Linked DNA regions of Bombyx mori. The protein of the gene in region 1 purifies or fractionates together with the protein of each later gene. This does not show direct contact. Links are inferred from orthologs where the notes say so. Each region holds a gene or a part of one and is shown in the gene's direction. Other genes may lie near its edges. The genes, in order: Ck2b, FACT complex subunit spt16, PHD and RING finger domain-containing protein 1, Rybp, DDB1- and CUL4-associated factor 7 and MYND-type zinc finger-containing chromatin reader ZMYND8.

What was found.
Region 2: the proteins of Ck2b (region 1) and FACT complex subunit spt16 fractionate together in Homo sapiens (co-fractionation; 4 studies listed by BioGRID and IntAct, with this or other methods). This does not show direct contact. The link is inferred for Bombyx mori from reciprocal best matches to the Homo sapiens genes CSNK2B and SUPT16H.
Region 3: the proteins of Ck2b (region 1) and PHD and RING finger domain-containing protein 1 purify together in Homo sapiens (affinity purification with mass spectrometry; 3 studies listed by BioGRID and IntAct, with this or other methods). This does not show direct contact. The link is inferred for Bombyx mori from reciprocal best matches to the Homo sapiens genes CSNK2B and PHRF1.
Region 4: the proteins of Ck2b (region 1) and Rybp purify together in Homo sapiens (affinity purification with mass spectrometry; 5 studies listed by BioGRID and IntAct, counting the BioPlex papers as one, with this or other methods). This does not show direct contact. The link is inferred for Bombyx mori from reciprocal best matches to the Homo sapiens genes CSNK2B and YAF2.
Region 5: the proteins of Ck2b (region 1) and DDB1- and CUL4-associated factor 7 purify together in Homo sapiens (affinity purification with mass spectrometry; 4 studies listed by BioGRID and IntAct, with this or other methods). This does not show direct contact. The link is inferred for Bombyx mori from reciprocal best matches to the Homo sapiens genes CSNK2B and DCAF7.
Region 6: the proteins of Ck2b (region 1) and MYND-type zinc finger-containing chromatin reader ZMYND8 purify together in Homo sapiens (affinity purification with mass spectrometry; 3 studies listed by BioGRID and IntAct, with this or other methods). This does not show direct contact. The link is inferred for Bombyx mori from reciprocal best matches to the Homo sapiens genes CSNK2B and ZMYND8.

Annotation. Positions count from the first base shown.
Region 1 is NC_085121.1:1,778,339-1,782,619, reverse strand, and holds the start of Ck2b (casein kinase 2 beta subunit), read left to right. Parts: upstream 1-1,481; 5' UTR 1,482-1,517; exon of another isoform or gene 1,518-1,645; intron 1,646-1,767; exon of another isoform or gene 1,768-1,768; 5' UTR 1,769-1,771; coding exon 1,772-1,843; intron 1,844-1,916; coding exon 1,917-2,019; intron 2,020-2,253; coding exon 2,254-2,353; intron 2,354-4,281. UniProt on the Homo sapiens protein: Regulatory subunit of casein kinase II/CK2.
Region 2 is NC_085116.1:13,764,485-13,767,984, forward strand, and holds part of FACT complex subunit spt16, read left to right. Parts: intron 1-1,525; coding exon 1,526-1,687; intron 1,688-1,898; coding exon 1,899-2,198; intron 2,199-2,286; coding exon 2,287-2,702; intron 2,703-2,809; coding exon 2,810-2,954; intron 2,955-3,500. UniProt on the Homo sapiens protein: Component of the FACT complex, a general chromatin factor that acts to reorganize nucleosomes. The FACT complex is involved in multiple processes that require DNA as a template such as mRNA elongation, DNA replication and DNA repair.
Region 3 is NC_085129.1:15,713,029-15,717,010, forward strand, and holds the start of PHD and RING finger domain-containing protein 1, read left to right. Parts: upstream 1-1,182; 5' UTR 1,183-1,433; coding exon 1,434-1,565; intron 1,566-1,666; coding exon 1,667-2,098; intron 2,099-3,248; exon of another isoform or gene 3,249-3,982.
Region 4 is NC_085134.1:5,459,482-5,463,779, reverse strand, and holds the start of Rybp (ring and YY1 binding protein), read left to right. Parts: upstream 1-1,498; 5' UTR 1,499-1,667; coding exon 1,668-1,803; intron 1,804-4,298. UniProt on the Homo sapiens protein: Binds to MYC and inhibits MYC-mediated transactivation. Also binds to MYCN and enhances MYCN-dependent transcriptional activation. Increases calpain 2-mediated proteolysis of YY1 in vitro.
Region 5 is NC_085118.1:1,110,545-1,114,539, reverse strand, and holds the start of DDB1- and CUL4-associated factor 7, read left to right. Parts: upstream 1-1,195; 5' UTR 1,196-1,426; intron 1,427-1,589; 5' UTR 1,590-1,610; coding exon 1,611-1,672; intron 1,673-2,087; coding exon 2,088-2,190; intron 2,191-2,989; coding exon 2,990-3,125; intron 3,126-3,643; coding exon 3,644-3,894; intron 3,895-3,995. UniProt on the Homo sapiens protein: Involved in craniofacial development. Acts upstream of the EDN1 pathway and is required for formation of the upper jaw equivalent, the palatoquadrate. The activity required for EDN1 pathway function differs between the first and second arches.
Region 6 is NC_085121.1:12,333,573-12,337,072, forward strand, and holds part of MYND-type zinc finger-containing chromatin reader ZMYND8, read left to right. Parts: intron 1-43; coding exon 44-246; intron 247-866; coding exon 867-1,040; intron 1,041-2,184; coding exon 2,185-2,310; intron 2,311-3,119; coding exon 3,120-3,264; intron 3,265-3,500. UniProt on the Homo sapiens protein: Chromatin reader that recognizes dual histone modifications such as histone H3.1 dimethylated at 'Lys-36' and histone H4 acetylated at 'Lys-16' (H3.1K36me2-H4K16ac) and histone H3 methylated at 'Lys-4' and histone H4 acetylated at 'Lys-14' (H3K4me1-H3K14ac).

The DNA of each region.
Region 1 (4,281 bases):
TTGGGAGTCCGCACGGGTAGGTACCACCACCCCGCCTATTTCTGCCGTGAAGCAGTAATGCGTTTCGGCTTGAAGGGTGGGGCAGCCGTTGTCACTATACTGAGACCTTAGAACTTATATCTTAAGGTGGGTGGCGCATTTACGTTGTCGATGTCTATGGGCTCCAGTAACCACTTAACACCAGGTGGGCTGTAAGCACGTCCACCCATCTAAAAAAAAAAAACTAACACTACGCGATCGGCCACATTTCGTTCGTCAGAAAATACGTGACGTCTGCTGGCCCTAGGATCTTACTCTACACACTCGTCCTCGACCTGTCTCGTGGTGTTTCGACGACCGTGTACAGCTGGCGTTTTCCTCATATTGAAACGCATTTTTTTTTCCTACCTAAGCGGATAGCCTTGATAGGCTATTTCAGCGTAACTATAATTAGTAGGTGAGCTCATGGGGATCAAACCTGACGACGTTGCTAACACGAACCCTAGCAAGAGCCGTGCTTCGCAAAATCTACCACCGGATCGGAAACGCGACCCACTGAGAAGATCCGGCGAGAAACTCAGTAGGCTGTGTCTGTGGGTTAACTTACTCGAGCCCTTCGTCGCAAGTGACGGGTTCGACGAGAACGATGACCGGTGAAATGCATGACATTCACGGCAGAATAAACACGGTACAGCTCGTTCTCTGCAGGTGGACGATACAAGCATAGATAATATACTAATTTAAGACCTCAAGCAGCACCTGCACAGCTATGTCGAGGTTGATAACAATACTATTACCCAGTTGACCATTCCAGCGGAGCGCATTTAATTAAGTATGTTCCATTTTTTTATTATTGTAGCACTGCTATAGAATTGTTATCCCCGAATTTGAACTTTTGGAATAATCATGTACCGAAAATAAATAGTCGCACGGTGGAAACGGATTCTTTCCTACACAGACGTCACTATTAAATGGTAGCCTACGACGAAACAAAACGCTAGGAAAGTTTTATTCTTCATTAAAATTTATTACAATATTAATATTTAACATAGGAGTTTAACAGTAACACATTACTGGAATTTTTACTAGAACCTCAGTGATTACTTAAGTGCAGCTCTTTTGTGCCATTTCTGCAACGTCTACAAGTTAGTTTTAAACTGTCACAAATATTAAACTGTTACATACCTCCATTAATATCAAACATCAATAAATAAAATATTGCAGTTCACGGGATTCGGTCCTTTTACACTTCTATGAAAAAAGGTCATACACCACGAAATTTTCATATTACTTAATCATATAGCAGCTTTTACTTACTATATAGTATATAGATGTGAAACACCGACCATTCGAGGAAAAAATTTGACTGTGGACATGAAAATATAGAGATTAATATTTTTCTCAGATCATAGACTAGAGCATCGACAAAATCATTCTATTCATATTCCGTACGCACACACTGAAATTTGCAATTTCTCTCTCCCTCTTTCCAAGAGGTGTATCCTCCCGTCAAGCGTGGCTAATCAAGGCACGAAAAGGTGAGGTTTGTCGTCATTTTATCTCAATATTCCATGATTACTGCGAAAAAAAACACATTAAATCTTTGCCAAATTCGTTAATTTACTGTGAAATTGTGAAAAACAGCTTTGAAGACATAAAATAACAGGTGATAACATAGGAATGCATAAAATTTGTTGTAACAGCAACGTGTGGCGGGTCTGAAGTTTTGATTGTATTTATGTGATTCTTTCGTCCCACATACCTAATTTAATATGATTGTTTTATTAGAAAAATGAGCAGCTCCGAGGAGGTATCCTGGATCGCTTGGTTTTGCACGCTTCGAGGCAATGAGTTTTTCTGTGAGGTGAGTCTCGACTATTCGATCGCTGTAATAAAATGTTACCTTATTGATCGTCATAATATTATATCTTGTGCAGGTTGACGAAGACTACATAAATGATAAATTTAATCTAACCGGCTTAAATGAGCAAGTTCCACATTATAGAGAGGCGCTGGACATGATTCTGGATCTGGAGCCAGGTGATCAGTTAACAATAATTTTCCTTCTCAACTTAATTGTAAAGTACTATTGAAAATCAAATATAAAATGAAAGTTGCAGACATTTTGTTGCATGCCATTATTTAAATAGATTTCTCTAAAACAAAGAACTGTATGTTTCTACATGATTCTCATTTATGAAATTCTGCATTCATCAGAATCATCATAAATGAGAATGTTGTATTGTAAATGTTCATTAAATCTAAATGTTTCAGATGATGACATTGAAGACAATCCAAATGAATCTGATCTGGTGGAACAAGCATCGGAGATACTATATGGATTGATACATGCCCGGTACATATTGACCAATAGGTGAGTTGCATTACATTGTATGTTAATTATTGTCTTTAATACTTTTAATGTAGTATGATAAAACAAATTATAAAAAAAATTAAGTGCATCAATGATAAATAATAGTAATGAGTACTCAAAAGGGGTCTTTACTAAATATTTAAATATTTTTTTTTATATCCCAAGATAATAACTTAACTTAAGCTACACTACATTTCCAATGCCACAGTCATATAACCGACTAGGGTTATTGTTGTCCCCACACAACGTGGTCTCGCCTTGTCGTGGCGGTGGGGCTTAAGCGTGCACCCCGATACCGTGGAGCAGCGTTGTCTGCACAGGGGTGGCGTGAACTAAGAAGACTGCACACCGTGTTCCCTTTTCCCACCTTTGCTAAGCAAAGGGTGCGTGAAGAGCGAAGAGGGCTCCCTTCTGGAGCCTCTTGTATGCTAGGCCATGTCCCCGGCGGTTCTCTGGCTGTTAAAGGGGAAGGCCCTCCAGAGGGGGGTACCGGTACGCCGGCGTGGCCACAACGTGGTCAGACGTGTGGGTCTGTCAGTAATGGTAGACCCACGTGGATGAGAAGTGAACCGGAGGGCACTCCCTTCCGGTCGCTGGTCGTCATGTCCCCGGCTGCCTCTTGGTGGCTACAGGGGAAGGCCCTCCAGAGGGGGGTACCGGTTTACCGGCGTGGCTTCGTAGAAGCATACCGTAATCCCTACCGAGTAGGAGGCGGGGGCCGCTGCCTAGCAGGGGCCGCGAGGATGCGAACCTCTATAAAAAATGCCCTAATCTTAAGCTTGTGACGTGTCCGGTGATGAGATGAGTGGCTGGAGGGAGTCCAGTCGTGAGGACCGTCCCAGGGGACCGACCCCTGGTTAAATAAAAAGGAACAAATATAATGATGGCAAACTTAAAACAAAAATTACCCCAGGAGGGTACCACCTTAGGTGGAGAATCCCTCCGTGCTTTCACCTCGGTGGGAGCACGCTGCCCCGCGTATTCTGGGGGGGGCAAAGAATGCCATGATGAAGGGGGCTGTGCGACGGGCAGCGGAAAACCCGTCGAACCGAGGTGTGCCAGCGCTGGCTCGACGCGTTCTGCGCTCGTCAGCGACGGCGAAACAGTTGATCCGAAAGGGACAGCCGCCAAGAAGATCAGGCGGAAGAGGAAATCCTGGCGAGTTTCCTCTCGTGAGGGGGTAGGGGAGCCAGCATCGTCCTCTGGTGCGGATGCCCCGCCGGAGAAAGTGCTGGTAGTCTCCGATGCGGCATCTGCTGCAGAGGAGATGCCGCCCCCTAAAGGAAGACCCGCCCGTAGAAGGGGCGCGCCGTCACCGGCGCCATCATCAGTGTCGATGTCTGTCGCCTCACTGGACGGGCAGACGACGGAGGAGGAAGAGGGTGGCCTTCAGGACCCTGCCTTGGTCATAGACAGGGCCATGAAGACCATCAAAACCTATGCGGCCAACGGCACCAAGACCAAAGCCGCTGGCCGTAAACTGCGAGAAGTGGTCTCGCAAGTCTCGAAGGTTCTGCCTTCGGTTGCTTCTGCCAATGACCAGGTAGTGCAGCTGAGGGCGGAGAATTCGAGGCTTCGAGCACAGCTTCAAGCACAGCAGCAGCCCAATGATGGCGCAGCGACGCCTTGGGTCGCTGGAGCCCCTCGAGGTCCCCGTCCCCCGGCGCTGACTGGCGACCGATGGCCTGTGCTGCCGCCACCGCGTGTGGCACAGCAGAGGCCGCGTCTCCCGTCGCCGCGCTCTAGGGAGACGACCGCTGCCGAGCGACAGCAAGCACTCGCGGGGCCACGGATGTTGGCTCCGCTACAACCAACAAACTTCAGCCTGGAAGAGGTCATCAGCCGCACCATCCAGGCTGTAATAGAAAGGCTGGGCGGCAGGTTGGCGGCTCTCGAGGCGAAAGTCCCTACCTCGGCTGACGCTAGGC
Region 2 (3,500 bases), on another chromosome or scaffold:
GCCAGGCCTACTCTAACTTCCTTACCTGCATTCCGTCAACAACTAGTGTGGTTCAAGAAGGTTCTAGTGTCAAATTTAAATAATTGTCCCACTACCTAATAATTTTTGCTGTTGGTTCTAATTGAACCCAAAGGTTTACTACACATGTTAATGACAATTGGCCTTTTACAACATAATATTTTATATTCAACCGTCATTATCTAAAAGTTTATCCCGTTTTTAATTTCATTTTAATACTTATAAATTATACTCTTGTAGAAAATTTATTTGTTTTCGTATTAGGTCTGGAAAGAGTCCTTGGGTATTATCAGTGGCTTGGTTGTATATATTAGAATGAGTGAAATGAGTGACAGACATTTCAGTAATCACTTTATTCAGCTTAGAATTTATTTCCTGTCAAATGACACATTATGGTTGGTTGGTTGGTATGGTTGGTTTAAGTTTCATGTATATGAAGCAAATGGTTCAATTAGGAAAAATCTTGGATTACTACTATTATGTGTAGATGAGGATGCTTGAGGTAATAGTATTAGCCTGAGGTGGTGTCTTTTGATTAATTAGTCAGATATAATTAGTCAAGTGTCTCTCTCTTTCTCTCTCTTAATCTCAAGATTAATATCAAAAAATATTTATAGGATATTGTGAGCCTCTGTCGGTAAGTACCACTATTCTGCCTATTTGAGGCAATCATTCATTCTGATGTAAATAGTGGGACATCTATTATACAATAGAATTGATTTTCCAATTACATCAAGAAGGATGATGGCATCCATATTGTTAAGTGCATAAACTCCTGTATCAGAATGAACTTCTTTCTTTACAGAGTATAATTTTTTCTTGAATCTTAGTGAAAAAAAAAAATCCTATGATTTCTGTATGCATATAAACTTTTAATACTACTTAACCTATAATATCAAAATCAATTCAAAAACAAAAACTTTTAAGATTTCTGACACTCAGATAAGTAGTATAACAATGACACACTGATTGTTGATTATATTTTGTCAGTTCTCTTTAGAACTATGCTTACTTCAGAACTAATTTGGTCTCTGTTGTAATAAGCTAAGGAGCATTTTGCTTTAAAAATGAACCTTTTTCAGGATTTAATGCAACCTTTTTTTTTCACTTGAGTCAATAAGCAGTACCTGCAATATGTCAATGAGCTAGAATACAGTGCTGTCTTAAAACATTTCGATGCCTCCAATGAACACTACGCTAACTCCAAATTCGTAGATTTACAGGAGAAGCGTTTAAACGAAAAAAGTTGATAAAATCTTTATTATTGCTTTATGGTTTTTTTGTGTAGCTAGCTGATTTACTCTTGCTTCGAACCCCATCAATAATGATTAATTGTAATACCTTTTAAATAGTGAAGCATATGCGTGAAAAACGAAAATTTCAAAATTTTGAATTAGAGTAGTGTTCATTGGAGGCATCAATTTAATTTATTTTATTATTTATTAATTTATAACAAAACTCTTTGTGTTTATGATATTTATTAAAGTTATTGTTTTGTTTTTTCTAGACATGGCTGTTTGGATATGAGTTACCTGACACAATCACTGTCTTAACAGAGCATAGCATGTGTTTTTTAGCCAGTAAGAAGAAGATTGAATTCCTGAGACAAATAGAAAATGGTAAAGATGAAACTGAATTGCCCCCAGCAAAACTTCTTATTAGAGACAGAGTAAGTCCATTTGTGCACTTTCTAAAACAAACAAAGTTTCTATGACCTAAAGTTAGCCAGCTATATATTTTGTATCACAATTCAGCGTTAAACTCTCATTAAGCGGCTGCCAGGTTTCAAATTTTGTGGCAAATACCAATTTTTACCAACTGATTGTGTATCATGAGCTTGTACAATGATGATTCATGCGATTGTAATTTTTTTTCCATAGAATGACAAAGACAAGGAAAACTTCAACAAACTTCTCCAAGAAATAAAGAAATCAAAATCAGGCAAGACACTGGGTATTTTCGTGAAAGACAATTATCCAGGTGAATTTTGTGAAAGTTGGAAAGCAGTTCTGAAGGGAGAGAAGTTTGAAAATGTCGATGTCAGTTCAGCGATTGCATTATTAATGGCGCCAAAAGAAGACTCTGAAATTATTACAATAAAAAAAGCATGTCTGGTCACAGTGGATGTCTTCACAAAATACTTAAAAGATCAGATAATGGAAATTATTGATTCAGATAAGGTATGTATTAGACATTCAAATAAGTGATCAATTCTAATCAAATTATTTTAAATTAATATACTTTTAATAACAAAAATTCACTTTTCAGAAAGTCAAACATTCAAAACTTGCTGAAGGTGTGGAAACAGCAGTTTCAGATAAGAAATATGTAACAGGAGTCGATACAAGTCAAGTTGACATGTGTTATCCTCCTATTATACAGTCAGGCGGACACTATAGTTTGAAATTCAGTGCAGTATCTGATAAAAACCACTTACACTTTGGCGCCATAGTATGTTCACTAGGTGCTAGATACAAATCATATTGTTCGAACATAGTCCGTACATTACTGGTCAACCCAACTGATGAAGTACAAAGTAATTACAATTTCTTGTTAAATATTGAAGAAGAGGTGATGAAGAGTCTTGTAGCTGGAGCGAAATTATCTACAGTTTATGAAGCTGGTCTAGCGTTAGCCAAGAAAGAGAAACCTAACTTAGTTGAAAATCTCACTAAGAGTTTTGGGTAATAGTTTTATTATATAAATCAATATGTTTTAATCTTGAATTCCAAAAACAATGGATGTTCTTGGTGTTTATGTATATTATTCTGATATTCTTTATGCTTTGCAGATTCGCTATGGGTATAGAATTTCGTGAAAGTTCCATTATTATTGGACCTAAAACAAATGTTACCGCGAAAAAAGGAATGGTCTTCAACATAAACATTGGCTTGGCGAACTTAACAAACAGTAATGCCTCAGATAAGGAGGGGAAGGTAGTGTATCAAAATATTTTGTTGTGGTACCAGTGTGTTGACAAATTAACATTTTTAAATCTTATACTTAATACAAGTAGTTGTTTCTTTATTATTTGTAAGTTTAAACAAATTTTAGTCCTTTCTTCAGTGTCAAGAAGCATTGGTGTCACGAAATCTTGAATTAAATTTATTTATTACAGCTATGTTCCACTACAAGGCAAAAGCCACCCTACCCTCTGCTAAACACTGGGTCTATTAAAAGAGGATAGTTTCCTCAAAGTCTCAGCCATACTACTATTTTGAAAGTCGTCGTGGCCTAAAGGATAAGACGTCCGGTGCATTCGTGTGTAGCGATGCACCGGTGTTCGAATCCCGCAGGGTACCAATTTTTCTAATGAAATACGTACTCAACAAATGTTCACGATTGACTTCCACGGTGAAGGAATAACATCGTGTAATAAAAATCAAACCCGCAAAATTATAATTTGCGTAATCACTGGTGGTAGGACCTCTTGGGAGTCTGCACGGGTAGGTACCACCACCCCGCCTATTTCCGCCGTGAAG
Region 3 (3,982 bases), on another chromosome or scaffold:
AGCAACAGTAATAATAAAAGATTTCAAGATTGAAATATGAGAAGTACTTCAATATTGAGAAGATCCGGTGAGAAACTTAGCGGGATGCTATGGGGTAGGGGCGGTAAGGCTTACGTCGAGCTTTTCAGTGAGATGTACGAGTTACAGGTGAGAAACTTAACGGGATGCTATGGGGTAAGGGCGGTAAGGCTTACGTCGAGCTTTTCAGTGAGATGTACGAGTTACATGAACTGTTAAATTCGTTTTTTTTTTAATGGATTTTATGACCTGGTAACTAAGATCTTTATGTCATGTCTCATTTTAATTTACATTCTTATTTTTATGAAAAATGATAAAATAATGGAGTGAAATAAAATGAAATGAGATGAGATGAGATGGGATAAAAATTCGTAAGGACATGACTACAGCGTTGACGGTGCCTGGTTCTTGTATGAGCTGGATTAGGAGTATATCTTGTGGTGGCCACGATAAGACGGTTATCGTGTCGTTTTTATTTTATTCATATAATAATTTTATGACTGGATTCGAGATCCAGATCGTCTTGAAGATTATTATTTTTTTTAGGCAGAAATAGGCTGGGTGTTGATACCTACCCGCGTGGATTCACATGAGGTCCTACCACCAGTATTCATTGACCGAAGTATGTGATCTTGTGAGAGCCTTGTACACCTGATGCGAGAGAAGTTTCGGTTCGAACTCTTTCTTTGAAAGAATACGGATGTACCTTTATTTGGATTTGCTTCTATGCACCACTTTCAAAACGGCTGCCCGTTAAGTTTTTCGTAACGAGGGACTGTTTCTACTGGATTAGCAAATGGTTGCATCATTGCTGAAAATTCTTACTGGGTCAGAGGTTACCGCGGAATGTCATTTTATAGACCGAAGAGGAGCTGAGGATCCTCGTAAGAAAAATATGAAACTGTCTAGCACGCCCATGTTGTACACTTTCTAAGCTTGCCAAACTTTGTCGGCCGTCTTCGTAAGACCCAAGAAAACAGCTCCTTTGTAAATTGCTTTATGCCTGTACACTTCTACCATTGTTGTGAGTATTACTTTAATTACTGTCGTTTTATTTTAGTTTAGTTTTAGTTCAGTGCAAAATGATAATTTTTATGCATAGGGTTTTATGACATAAGTCGTTTTTGCCTATCAAAGTGAACTGCAAAATAAAAAAGTCCCTGGACTCTCTGGAAACATGGCTGAACGACCATCGATAGCGGCTTGCTGTCAAAATAAAATAAGTTTTATGAACGTGAATGCCTTGTAATCTTTTGAATATTAGCATTATGCAAGGCTTAGACCATTATATCGAATGAGTTTTGATAAGTCAAACAAACGGAGCTAGGGATTAATAGCGCAAAGGTCGTTTACACCTTTGCGAGTGGCTTCGTGTCGCGTTCGCTGAACTCAAAGAAGGCGTCCGGCTAGACAGGATGAGTGACGACAGCGAGGACTCGCCTCCGCGACCTAAACGTAAAATTAAAAGAGTGACGATTCTGTCATCCTCCGAGTCCGAGAGCGACGACAGCGTCACTGCAGTCGGGACACGTCGAAACCGAATGAGGGTGATGCATCCAATCATACTTATTACAATGGCAAACAAGTCGCACAACCTGCAGAAGCTTGTGAGAGACAAGAAAAGTGATGATGTGTTTACGTGTTACAGGTAGTGAGCGACGATGAGATTGACAGCAGCGGTAGCGAGGTGGTGCGCACTCGTCGAGGACGGGCTCTGCCCAAATTACGGGATTCGGACAGCGAGGGTGCTGCATGTCTCGCCGACGCTGTACCGAGGCCGACCTCAGGGTTCGCTTCCGACAGCTCAGAAGGCAACTCCGAAAAATGTTCCATTTGCCTTATGCGGTTTACTGATCAAGAAGTAGGAACCCCTCAAAGTTGTGAACATATATTTTGTCTGGATTGTATTACTGAGTGGTCAAAAAATGTGAATACCTGTCCTGTGGATCGGCTGACATTTGACTCTATTGTAGTGAGAGCTTGTGCCGGTGGACGTGTACTGCGCACTGAACAAGTGAAAGTTATTGAAAGGAGACCTTCTGTAGACGTACTGGTGGTTGAAGACCCAACAGTGTGTGAGGTGAGCTATGCTTATAAAATTTAAATGTGCTTGTAATATCCAATTAAAGTATATATTGTACTTGTAACATAAAACTCATTTTAGCTGTTAGTTCATTCTGTCTAATCTCTGAAACGCTGAAGTTATCACTATAAAAGTAGCCAAGACTAATTTTATTTTAGAAAAATAATTAGTGTTCAGTAGAAACAAATAAAACCCACAAAGGTTGAGAAATAGTGATTTAAATATACTACTATTAATATCATACAAAGCCACTATAGTGTGCCTGGGTTTAGATAGTTGAAAATAAGGCTATTTAACTTATCATCAACGGAACAATGTAACTAAGTATCTTTGTAAAGGTGTTTGTCTTTATGGAAAGGTACTGTAAACAAGCATATTTCTACACTGAAATATTCACACATTTGCTCAATTTGATTTAAGAATAAAGAGTTTGTGTCAAGTGTGGTCTAAGGCAGCTAACCCCTGAACATCAGCTGACCTTAAAGCTAGTCTTTCTATTTACTCCTTTAAAATAATCATAATATTAAAGAATATAAGGAATAAAGTACAAAATTAAATTGAGCAAATGTGTGAATATTTCAGTGTAGAAATATGCTTGTTTACAGTACCTTTTTAATTAAATAAATTAGTGAAAATGAGCTTACGGCCCACTTAGTGTTATGTGGTGATAATATAAATCAGAATGTGAATGCCACTACCCACCTTGTGGCATGAGGTTTAAATCTATTGTATAGTGTGGCTGATGGTTCAGACATTTCCAACCATGATTGCTCTACAGCAGGAAATAGGCAAGGTGGTGATACTTGTCTATGAGGGCTTCCAATACTCCACACTTATAGTAATTCCACATAATTTATAAAATTTTCAAAATTTAAATAATTTTTTTAAAGTTATTTATTTGAGGAACCAACAGTACAAAACATCCTTATAATATACTAGCTGACCTGGCAGACTTCATAGTGCCATAATCGATAAATAAAAGACCTAAACTTTTGTATAAAATAAACTTAAAACAAACAAAAGGAAAAACAAAATTGTTATTTTTATTTAATTCCGAGCATTTTCATATTTATCTACCTTTTAAACCTCCACAAATAATTCAAGACCAAAATTAGCCAAATCGGTCCAGCATCGGAACAGCAATTCATTTTTGTATATAGAGATTAAAAATATGTAAACAAAATCATGCAACTTTCCACTATTAACATTACACATGAGTAGAAAGTAAATAGAAAAAACAGACATTGATAGATTCAAGTGTACAGAGGGCAATGAAATACAAAAATAAATAGATACACATCTACATTTAATTTAATTGTATGTATTTTAATACTTAATACTACATGACGTGGTAGTATTGCACTTTACTATATTAGGACCTTGAATAAGTTCTCGCTATTTACTTTCAAAATAAAAGCTTTGTTTTAATATAAGCAACAAAAAGATTTCATTCAAAGTATTGTCAAAGGCTAGCAACTACTTTCTCCCATCTTTCTGGCAGTATATGCATTCCGCATCAGAAAAACGATTTGTCTTTTGAGGCTATCCAAGAATTGTTCCATTTTTTAGCTTCTTCATATGAATGAAAGTGCTGGTCAGTTAAGCCATGTGCCATCGGATGGAATAGGTGAAAATCAGAAGGGGCTATGTCAGGTGAATACCGCGGGTGGGCTAGAACTTACCATTGAAGCGTTTCTGGGTAGGCTTTCACTGGTTTTGCAACATGAGGCAGAGCATTGTCATGTAGCAAAATCACTTTGTCCTGTCTCTGTTCGTGTAGTGGCCGTTTTTCTTTAAGGCTCATAAACACATTAATTGAAGTCAATAGCGATGCTTGTGATATTTTTATTCAGATTGAGCAGCTCATTATAAATTACACCC
Region 4 (4,298 bases), on another chromosome or scaffold:
GTGCAGTGTAGGATAGTGATTGTTGGAATTCATATTATGATGTCTGATGAAGGTCTAATAAAAGACCGAAACGTTGCAAATATAATAATGTAATTTGTTATTATGATCCTATCTTGCCCACATTCCTGAGATACAAACTATTTTATATTTATTTAATTGTACTAGAGGTCCCGCAGTAGTCGAAATTCGACTATAATTAATTGGAATTGTAAGTTTGTACACTATTATAATTGTATTTTATCCTTCTATCATCACAAATTTCGCCAAGACTACACTAAAAAAAATATTAACAAAGACAAACAATGTTTAATCTATTCTCAATTTGACAACAGACGTCAAGAACAAAAGCTTGATAATAAATAGTATGCATGCGTGTGTGCGTTAAATACATGGTATGTAGTGTGTGTAATGTTTTCCTTATTGATTTAATTAATGTATATTTTATGCATTATTTAAAAAAAATATTAGCATTGTGCACTTCTCTATATTCTCTTTAAGTGTGGAAATTTTCAACGCCTCCGTCCGCGCAATTTTCGTAAAAAGGAATATTTATTGGTCAAGGAAAGCCAGGCTGAAATTAGATTCGTATTAGAAAAAAAAAAAACAATAAATTCAAAGTTAGAATTAAACGTTCGTTTTAAATTGATAATTTTCGTGAAAAGATCCAAGATTTTTGAACCACGCGTATTTCGCTTCAAGTAGAAAAAAATGAAAGGACTTCTTTCGTAAAACTCAGGTAGAGATTTTATTTCTATCGCCGTCACAAAAAAGGGGTCGTTTTCTAAGAAACGGCATAGAAATATTTCTCAAAGGCTTACCGTGCTTCATAGTTTTTGTTTAAACGATTTTAAGCTTTAAAATAACCAGTATAAGACACATAATTGAATTTCTGCGTTTAAGTATCGGTACCTATTTAAAAATGTACACAATTTTGTTGACTGATATTTGGGTTCAGTGGTTTAGTGTTGGTGTGTCATTTGGAATAGATATTTCGAATTTTAAAACGTTTGGAGTTCTTGACCTTTACTTAATGTAGCGGCCCTTTTGTGGCTGGTCAAAGACTTGTGCTATCAGCTAATTCTTTTTGGTTCCAAAGTAATGAATGACTAGATAAGACTAGGTTCATAGACCTTATACTAAGAAGATCCACCTCCCGCCTCAACAATCCACGGAAAGAATAATATTATTATGGTAACGTTTGCGTTATTATTTAATTTTATCAACTAGTTCACCACCATTCTGCCTGTCTTTGCCGCAAAATAGCCCTTTTGAATTTTGGGACCAATAATAAAATGACCATATCCGCATTCGGTCTTCTATTAAGCCCAACCAACAATATACTTATGTACTTTATTCGCTGTTTATTATTATGTTTGAATTTTATTCTAAGAAAAATTTATAAATCTTAATTCATGAATAACGCCATCTAGTATTGCTATTTTGTAGCTAAAACAGCTCAGAAGAATGTGGCGCCTTCACGCTGTTTAACCGACGTAACATTGACGGCTGTCATGGCGTAAAAGTGTACAATCTTTGTGCACAGTAAAACAAAAATAATGATTTCCCGACGCATTAATTCACAATTGTGCATTAGAAATAATAGTTTTCAATCAAAAATATCATGATAGACGTGTCTTAGCTACGTTTAGTTGCGTGTATGCATTAAAATGGACAAGAAAAATGCCATTAGAAGAGCCAAAAGGCCATCAAAAGTGCTGGAAGAAAACTACTGGGATTGTAGTGTTTGCACGTACAGGAATAACGCGGAAGCTTTCAAATGTTCCATGTGTGACGTTAGAAAAGGTAAATACTGTAACTGAACGCCAATATTTTTCATATATGTAAATTCTGCACACGAATTTGACCTAAATGATCTAATTCACGCACACAGAGCCACGTATCTTAACACGATGATTGTTTCAATGAGCTTTTTATTAATTAACTACGTAACCTTTTCATATAATAAAACGCTCAGAACTGCAGACATTTAAGTATAAAAGGGCATTCACATTACGTATTCAAATTCTAACCTAAAACCTAAACCAAGGACGAAAATTATTGATTAGTCTAGGGCGACGTTACGAATAAGAGCGAATAAGTATGAGATTCATATAAGAATAAAATCTCGACGTATCAAACATTGATTACGAGTTAAAGTTCCGCAATAAAAGTACGGAAAGAAGTAATCATAGTATTTCTACACCGAAGTCAGTAAGTAGTAGAATATAATTTTTTTTTTAAATTGGTAACCAAAAACTTCACTATAGCGGTGCATTTTTCTACCGGCTGCTTCTCTAGTAGACCTTCAAGACGGTTTCCTATAATGTTCTTGTATCAAAATAGGCAAAGCATCAAACACGAATTACCTAGATGACCTGACTTAGATTTTTTCGTTTTCTGTACATACAAAGTAGAAAGGTTTGTGTTTTTGTATATCAAAATAGTACATAACACTGGACAAAAAAAAAATCTTAACTGAAAAGTATAATGGCTGTTTCTAATTACAACAAGCAATCTTGAGTATACCATGAGATGGACATGAACCACCATATATACATAACTGCTATTAAAATATTCCATCATATTTGGCATTTTGCATAACTTTAAGTGTATGATGTTAGACATCAGTATTATACTAATTTTGTTGGCAAAGCACTCATTTGTTATGGTATGAAGAGCTTACCGTTATTCAAATAAGTACTTAATGAGCGAGGACATTCATGTTGTGATCTCAATATTATTGCATAGTCCAGAAAAAAAAAAAAATGTACATACATATTGACGCTTGAAAGGCGAAAGTGACTAAGCGACAATAACTGATTTGTACATAACAAAATATATATTTCTAGGTCTATTAAAACCTATTTCAATCCTACAGCTACTAGCTAGATTCTACTACAGCTAGATTCGTTAAAATAAATTTTGTTTTCAGGTATTCCAACTTTCAATTAGTCTACTGTACAGTTCACACATTGTCACTTAGTCATGTTTGCCTTTCAAGCGTCGATATGCTCTCTGGAAAACAACTGATGTTCTATTTTGGAAACATATATTTACTAACCTATATAAATTATCTCTTATTATATAGAAGTGATAAGGCTGCTCATTGCCACCACTTGTTTATTTCTATCATAATATACATGTTTCTTGTATGTATAAGATATACTTTCTGTGTATGTTTACTACAAGGATTGCCCTATCAATGTGTGTCACTATCGATAAATATTGTCAATAACATGGGAATTTCCAGCATGTTGGTTTATAAACTTATAACACTGTATATGAATCGTCTATTATCAAAGGTGGCAATCTGTGCATTTGGACAAAAATTTTTATTGGTATGTCAATACAGATTGATTTGAATATAATCGTCTCCTTCAAAGAATACGGTTCAAAACCTGCATTAAATAAAGGTTAATAGTTAACCTGTTATTTATCTAAGATGTCGTTCCGAAGAGTTTTGTGACTGCCAATGGAATACAAAGTCAATAATTCGTTTTTCTGATTTACCAATCATTGTCCAAAAGTCAGATTGCCGGCTTTGATAATAGTCGACTCATATATAAGATTAATTTATTCTTTCTACCCATTTTCATTATTGGCACATTCTTACAGGACAACTGATGGTAAATGGTTACTGTGTTGCTCACAGAATTCTGTAATGTCAAATGTGCAATTAAAGTAACTTGTACTTCTGAGGACACTTTTCAAATACTTGTTTGAAGAAGGACATGTTATAGTGGTCTCTTGAAACAAACTGAAGAAAATTAATTGAAAAATGAGAGACCATTTGGAAAATTGTTTTTTTTAAATCTGGCGTTAAGGAATTAGTTTGTTTTGGTACGAAGGTAGCTGAGTGAGGTAATTTTTGCAATGGGTCCGAATATTTCATAGTTTTTATGGTAATAGACAAGTGAGGTTTGAATAATGAGCTATTTACTGGTAAGTAGTAGGACCTCTTGTGAGTCCGCACGGGTAGGTACCACCACCCTGCCTATTTCTGCCGTGAAGCAGTAATGCGTTTCGGTTTGTATAGTGCGGCAGCCATTGTAATTATACTGAGACCTTAGAACTCATATCTCAAGGTGGGTGGCGCATTTACGTTGTAAATATCTATGGGCTCCGATAATCACTTAACATTAGGTGGATGGTGAGTTCGTCCACCCATCTAAGCAATAAAAAAAAATTTTTTTTTTCAATTAAATTATTTTGGAAATTTTGAAATTCCTAATCGTAAACATAGTCCTACTGACTCTCGACGACTCTTGTTGACTCGTACGTGATTACCACGGTAACTG
Region 5 (3,995 bases), on another chromosome or scaffold:
TTTTAGTTTATTACAGATTTAGGCTATAAAAAATTAATTGGGGCCTTCGTTTTCATTTTTGAAGATTGTTATCATGTAATCACGTTCCGTTTTCTATTGCATCTGGTTTCTAGTTACCACGAAATGGGGAACACACAACTCAGGCGAGCAGACAGACGCTCTTCGAAACGTCATGGCATTCGAACAAAGCGCCTAATAAAAAGTTTTACATTGCCAGTGTACTTTATTGCTATTAATTAAATTCGGGCACTTTAAGTATCTATAATAATCTTTAACATAGTTATGAGTTAAAAAGTTATACAAACTAATAAGTCTGTCCTTAATTTTTAATTAAGAAACTGAGACTGCCCAGGTATCTAGGCAATAAAAAAATATTATACACAATAATAGAAAACGTAAGAAATTTAGAACCTTTTTACCTACGATATCAGATCAGGAATATGGAAATTCGCAGGAAAACCGTAATAACTGACATAGCCGAAGGAATTGTGAGATTGAAGTGGGCAGAGCATTGCTCGTAGAACAGATGGCCACTATGGCTGAAACGCTTTCGAGTGGCGACTGTGTAAAGATGTAGCTTGGGTGGAGCTCCCACAAGGCAGACCAGCTACCTGTTAAATATAGCGGGAATCCGCCGAATGCAGACAGTGTAGGACCGGTCGTTGTGTCGAGGCTTTGGGGGGGCCTTTGTTCAACAGTGGACATCTGTGGATATTGTCGTTTATTTAACTTTCTATACATAGCCTGGTTTTACTACTCATTCAGTTTCGAATAGGTAGCTTACTCATTATTGAATTTTTACCAGGCATATGTCTTCAAATCCAATTTCGTCTTATTGCAGCCAATTTAATTTATTTTTAAATTATTTCATTTTCATTCATAAAATAATTTTCATTACACTTTTTTAACAACTAACAGAGATTCGACATATACTAAAGTAGGGACCCGCCCTTGCTTCAGAAACTGTAATTGATTATTGATTTCTCCACTATTTAATGGATGTTATTATACATATAAACCTTCCTCTTCAATCTCTATCTATTAAAAAAAGCGCATCAAAATCCGTTGCGTAGTTTTAAAGATTTAAGTATACATAGGGATATAGGGACAGAGAAAGCGACTTTGTTTTATACTATGTAGTGATGAGGTTTACTCGCAGATGCTAAATTCCCGTTGCCTAGTCAAAAAACGAAACGAAAAAAAATTAAAATGTCAGATTGTCCTACTTGCCAGTTGTCAAATTTTGTAAAAATAATGCTTCATGCTTGTTTTCTCCACACAAAACTAAGTTTTTAGTTAATTTCCAATTATAAAATACATTAATTGAAGGTACAGAAGCTCATGGACAGTTCAATATTTAAATAGGTATATTTAAATCAAACATAACAAAGCCGCTTGGTGGCCATTCTGTGATATTACGGCAAAGGTACATAAAATATATATTTTTTGTAAATTTAAAACCATATGTAAAAATCTAAAAAATATAACTTGAAAGGTATGAAAACTTACGTACTTGAAAGACAAAAAAAATAAAAAAGTCACTATTCATTAAAATTTCATATAAATATCATTTTGATTTGTGTTTTCAGAAACATTAAACATTATCAGTGATGTCGATGCCACACAGCAGTTCGAGTACCAGTTCAGGCACGAAACGTAAAGAAATATACAAGTAAGTAACGTTACAACACAATATGAACTATAAATAACAGATTGGAAATAATTGACAGTATAAAATACAGAGTTGACCCAATTTTGAGATTGCTAATTATAATTAGGTATAGCGTGTTATTTATTTCTGTACCCATTCCTATGTTTCGAAACATTTGTAATACAATCAAGCAGGCATTATGGGACTTACTAATTTAATGCTTTAGATGTTTTGAAATATACAGATAATCCTTTCACAATTCCCGAAAAGAACTAAAGTGATGTTAACAAATTGCAAAAACAGCCTTATCTTGATAATTACGTACGAAATTTGAGTTGTTCATACAGTTAGGTTAAATTCTCATAAACGAAGTTGTGATAAAAAAAAAACACTATAAGCTAGACAGCTGCATTTCTATGTCACACATCTTTTACAGATACCAAGCGCCATGGCCATTATACTCAATGAATTGGTCTGTCAGACCTGACAAGAGATTCAGGTTAGCCCTGGGCAGTTTTGTTGAGGAATACAACAATAAAGTAAGCTTTTACAGAGCAGTTATTATATTAATTTAGTAATTTACAAAACATACCAACAGGATTAAGTAAATACAGTATAAAGGCCCAGATAATGAATCATGCAAAGCTAATGCAATTTTAGGGAAGTCAATTTGTCAAAAATTTCCCACTCATTGAATTATAAAAGATAGAGGTGTGTGCCTTATAATCTATAAATGCATAATATTACCAAAGAAAATACACAATAAATTACATATTTTTGTTGTTGTTCATTTTTCAGTAGTTGACAGAATTGGTAGGAGCACTTAGTTTGTGGAGGCTGTTCTTATAGACCAAGTAGACAAATACAGCAAGAAAAAAAAAATTCTAAGTAATTATTGGTGCATAATATTACTTACTTAATTCCACCATTAAATTAGTAAAAACTCAACTACATACTACTAATTAGTTAATTGTTTAGCATAATATACAAACATATAGTAAGTAAACCAGGAGTTCCCAAGATATATAACCCACTTAGACACACAATAACTTGACCGCAAAGGTTTTAATTGGTGAGTATGTTGTATGAATAGGAAAAGAACTAGGGATAGGGTTTTTTAAATAATTTGGGTATGGGGTTTTGAGGTATCAGTTCATTTTAAAAAGGGGTCTGCCAAAAATTGTTTTATATTACCTAATATAAATGAATTTATTAGTTTTCACTACATTGAAGGATTTTTAGTGAAAACTAATATATTAATGGTTTCATTTAACACACATACTGTATTGTAGCATTCCTTGTGCATGACATAAGCTTAATAAAACTCTTAAATCCTAGGTACAAATAATTTCCCTTGATGAAGACACAAGTGAGTTCACTGCAAAAAGTACCTTTGATCACCCGTACCCGACCACCAAGATTATGTGGATACCTGATAGCAAGGGGGTGTATCCAGACTTGTTGGCAACTAGCGGTAAGACTTCGGTAGCAGTTTGTTAGCACTAAGATTACCATATTTAATATGGAGATAATGAGGCTTGAATTTACTTTTACACTGCTACATAGACAAAAACATATACTCCCAAAAATAATGCTTACAATATCATCTCTCTCTAGAGAAACAGTATTCATGATAGTCTTTGAGCTCCATAAACCACTGAATTGTACTTAACTGAGCCTGTCTATCTCCTTTGTCGTCATATCACTCTTGTCAGAGCGGTTGTGGTCGTCATTCAGCATCATTGCTGAGGGCAGATGTTATGCGCCTCACAAGCAATCGCTACTCCTCCCGGTTTGTGGTGAGCCTGGTACACTCATGCAAACAATAATAATCAATCTACATAAATAAAAATAAGTGATACCCTATGAGTACAATATGAATGATTGTGATGTTAATAGAGGCAACTTTCGTTGACATAAACAGTTTTGATAAATAATCAAATTCAAGTAAAACTATTCAATAAAATTTCACAATGGTGCCTTATGTTGCAGGTGATTATCTACGCATATGGCGTGCCGGAGAGCCGTACACATTATTCGAATGTGTCCTAAATAATAATAAGAATTCTGACTTCTGTGCTCCTCTTACATCCTTTGATTGGAACGAAGTGGATCCTAACCTCATTGGCACCAGTAGTATTGACACGACCTGCACCATCTGGGGCTTGGAGACTGGACAGGTCTTGGGCAGGGTCAATGAAGTGTCTGGGCACGTGAAGACTCAGTTGATCGCTCATGATAAGGTTTGTGATTTTTATTTAATAGAAGATCTTGTTAATTCATTTGTGTCCAAAATTTATGTTAATGATTATCTGAAGATTATTGGTGTCTTCAAAAAATTTTC
Region 6 (3,500 bases), about 11 Mb from region 1:
AAATTAATCCTATCATAATAAAAATTAACGTTCTTTTTGACAGGAAACAATGGTGTAAATACAGTGACAACACAGATGTTGCCGCCTACGCTGACGTCGGCCAGCACCGCGGTCACAACCCCAGTACAGTTGGCGCCCACAGTTGGGCAAGTGCCGACCACCGTCCACACGGTGCCCCTCATGACTTCCGTCAATGGACAGTGGATGTTTAGTTTACAACCTGTGATGTCCGTCGGAGCTATCGATGTAAGCACATAAGGGACATACTAATTTTCTATAAGGTAACTCGAGCGAAATGCTCCTGACGAACATATAGGATGTTCCAATCGTAAAATTCAAAGTAGCCCATATATAATATTTGACGGTAGTTAGCACAATATAGGAATGTATGTGAAAAACAACTTAATTAAATATGGGTAAATTTTTAAATTGGGTCAATCACGAAAACGCCCCTAGTGATTTGTATTTTTTTAAAAGCACGAATATTTAAATACTTGTTGGCCTAGTTAAAAAATTTGTAAGAGATAAATTTATAAAAATATATTCTAGGGTTTTATTTATTTATTTTTATTGCTTAGATGGGTGGACAAGCTCACAGCCCACATGGTGTTAAGTGGTTATTGGAGCCCATAGACATATACAACGTAAATGCGCCACCCACCTTGAGATAAAAATTCTAAGGTCTCAGTATAGTTACAACGGCTGCAACACCCTTCGAACCGGTAGGGTGGTAGTACCTACCCGCGCGGACTCACAAGAGGTCTTACCACTAGTAAAAAGTACACCTCATTTTTATTTAATTATTTTAATTAAACTAAGTGGTAGTAGTAATTATGAAACTAAGTAGTACATTGATTATCACACAGTCGAACACATCGCCGCTAGTGAACGGTGTTCCGGAAAGGCTCGGTCAAGCGGCGACCGTGGTGCCGGCCGCCGTCGTGTCACCCGCCCCTGCGACCCCCGCCTGCCCCGCGCCCCTTGCCGCTGCACCGCCGAGCCGGCCCGGAGACTCTGTCGTCACAAACACTCCCACAGAAGTGAGTTGCCATTTTGTAATCTATCTATATATTAATACGTGAAACAAAAACTTTGTACCCCTTTTTACGAAAATTGCACGGACGGAGGAGTATAAAATTTCCCATACTTATGTAGAATATAGAGGAGTGCAGCATGTTAACTTTTTAAAACTATGCGTAAATAATACATTAAAAAAAAATTACACACACACGCATGCATACTAAGTATTTGTTTATTGTCAAACTTTTCTTATAGTCTGGTCAATTTGAGAATAAATTAAAATTATTGTTCGTCTTTATTAATATTTGTCTAAAATGTAGTGTCGGCGAAATCTGTGATTAAAGAAGTTATATAGATTATATTAATGTAGAATATAATATAGAAGAGAAAGAAATAGAATATAGAATTATAAATTATAGAAGTTTGAATCTTGGACAATAGAATCATAATAGTGTACAAACTTATAATTTCACTTAATTATAGTCGAATTCTGACTACCGGGGGACCACTAGTTCATTTAATTTCGACATTATTTACAATATTGCATACCACCGCTGTCGTGAAACAGTCATTAGACTTTATGAAGAGCGACTTCGACTTTATGTCCCAATGTGGGTCTTTCATGTTATGATATCTATGGGCTTTGATACTCGATAAACACAACTGTAGAAAAATATTAGAGAGTATTATTGGCTCACTCGGGTAATTGGTACAATAGCGAAGCTTGTGCCTCAAAACCAGCTAAGACGTTTACGCTGTGGCTTTTATTGAAAATATATATATATTTTTGTTGCCCTTGTTGGCAGACGAGCATACGGCACACCTGATGGTGAGTGGTTACCGTCGCCCATGGACTTCAGCAATGCCAGGGGCAGAGTCAAGCCGCTGCCTACCGAAAATATTTAAATAATAATAATAATATATAAATAACTGCTCCACTAGAGCAATAAAATAAATACCGATCGTTTGGATTTGACTTTTTTGACGCTGGCTTACAATTATTTGACTTGCCCTAGACATTTAATAGTCATCATGACGAGTTATCGTAACTCTTTTGTCAAACGTAAGCGACGTTAACTCGATTTACGTATTTTTGGATAGTAAATATCTTATGCGTTAAATCAGACTGTCAATAACATCGTTCATGTCTTACTTTTCATCTAGCTCCCGAGGTTACAGCAGCGGCCGCCGATACAAAATCCACTAGATCCCAACTTCCCAATTGGTATTGTACCAGCACCATCTACCGTCGGTCCTCTAACGGCTAAACTCAATCAGAATGCCATCAAGGTAAATTCGAAATACTTATAAATTCGTAATATTATATTTTCGTTTCAATAAAAATATGACCCACTGTTACATCTGAGTCGTCTATTATCAAAGGTGGCAATCTGTGCATTTGGACAAAAAAATGTTATTGATATGTCAATACAGATTGATTTGAATATAATCGTCTCCTTCAAAGAATACGGTTCAAAACTTGCATTAAATAAAGTATTAACTTAACCTGTTATTTATCTAAGATGTCGTTCAGAAGAGTTTTGTGACTACCAATGGAATACAAAGTCAATAATTCGATTTCTGATTTACCAATAATTGTCCAAAAGTGACATTGCCGGCTTTGATAATAGTCGACTCATCTATTGTTTTTTCTGGGATCGAAACAATCCTGTCAAGTGTTCATAAAATCTATACTAATATATAAATCTACAGTAGTTTTTACGGATGTTCCGTTATAACTACTGAACCATGCATCCGATTGACTTGAAACTTGATATCCATGTAGAAAATACATGTACTTAATGGATATTGATATATGAGCGTTGGACTCCCTAAGAATAATGACCATAAATAATAATGTTAATTTTAAATGCCCAGCGAAGCGGCCGAGTACGGCTTGTACTATATAAAAATAAAAATACCCTCAATTGCGAAACAAAAACAAACCAACCTACACATTGAAATTTTTATATAAATGTACATATAATCGCTGCACAGTTACTCGTTTGGAACTAATTTTATCTTGTTACATTAAATCATAAAGAATGTACCTTAAATTTAGGTAGAATAGTTACTCAGTGTTACGACATTTGTTGCAGCTAGCCGATTTCTTCCGCACGCTACTGGAGGATTCGCTGGATAATCTCGACGATCCATCGACGCAGGTCACGTCCCTGAAGCTGCAGCTCGAACAGACCAAGTGGAGGCACCAGCAGAGATTGGACGAAATCAAACATAACTTTGGTAAACAAACATAAAGTTTCTAATGTGTATTTTTTGTAATATGTTCTTTTTTGTTACAAAATATATTAGGAAATGTTACTAAAAATGTTTGAAACACCAAACTGGTAGCTACCAAATAAAATGATAATGAAATGTTTTAATTCTACTTATAAATAATATTTAGAATGTGGGTTTGATTTAACACTAAACATGCCATAATGGGCCACGGACCCATTTGGAACTTTTACATTGTGCAC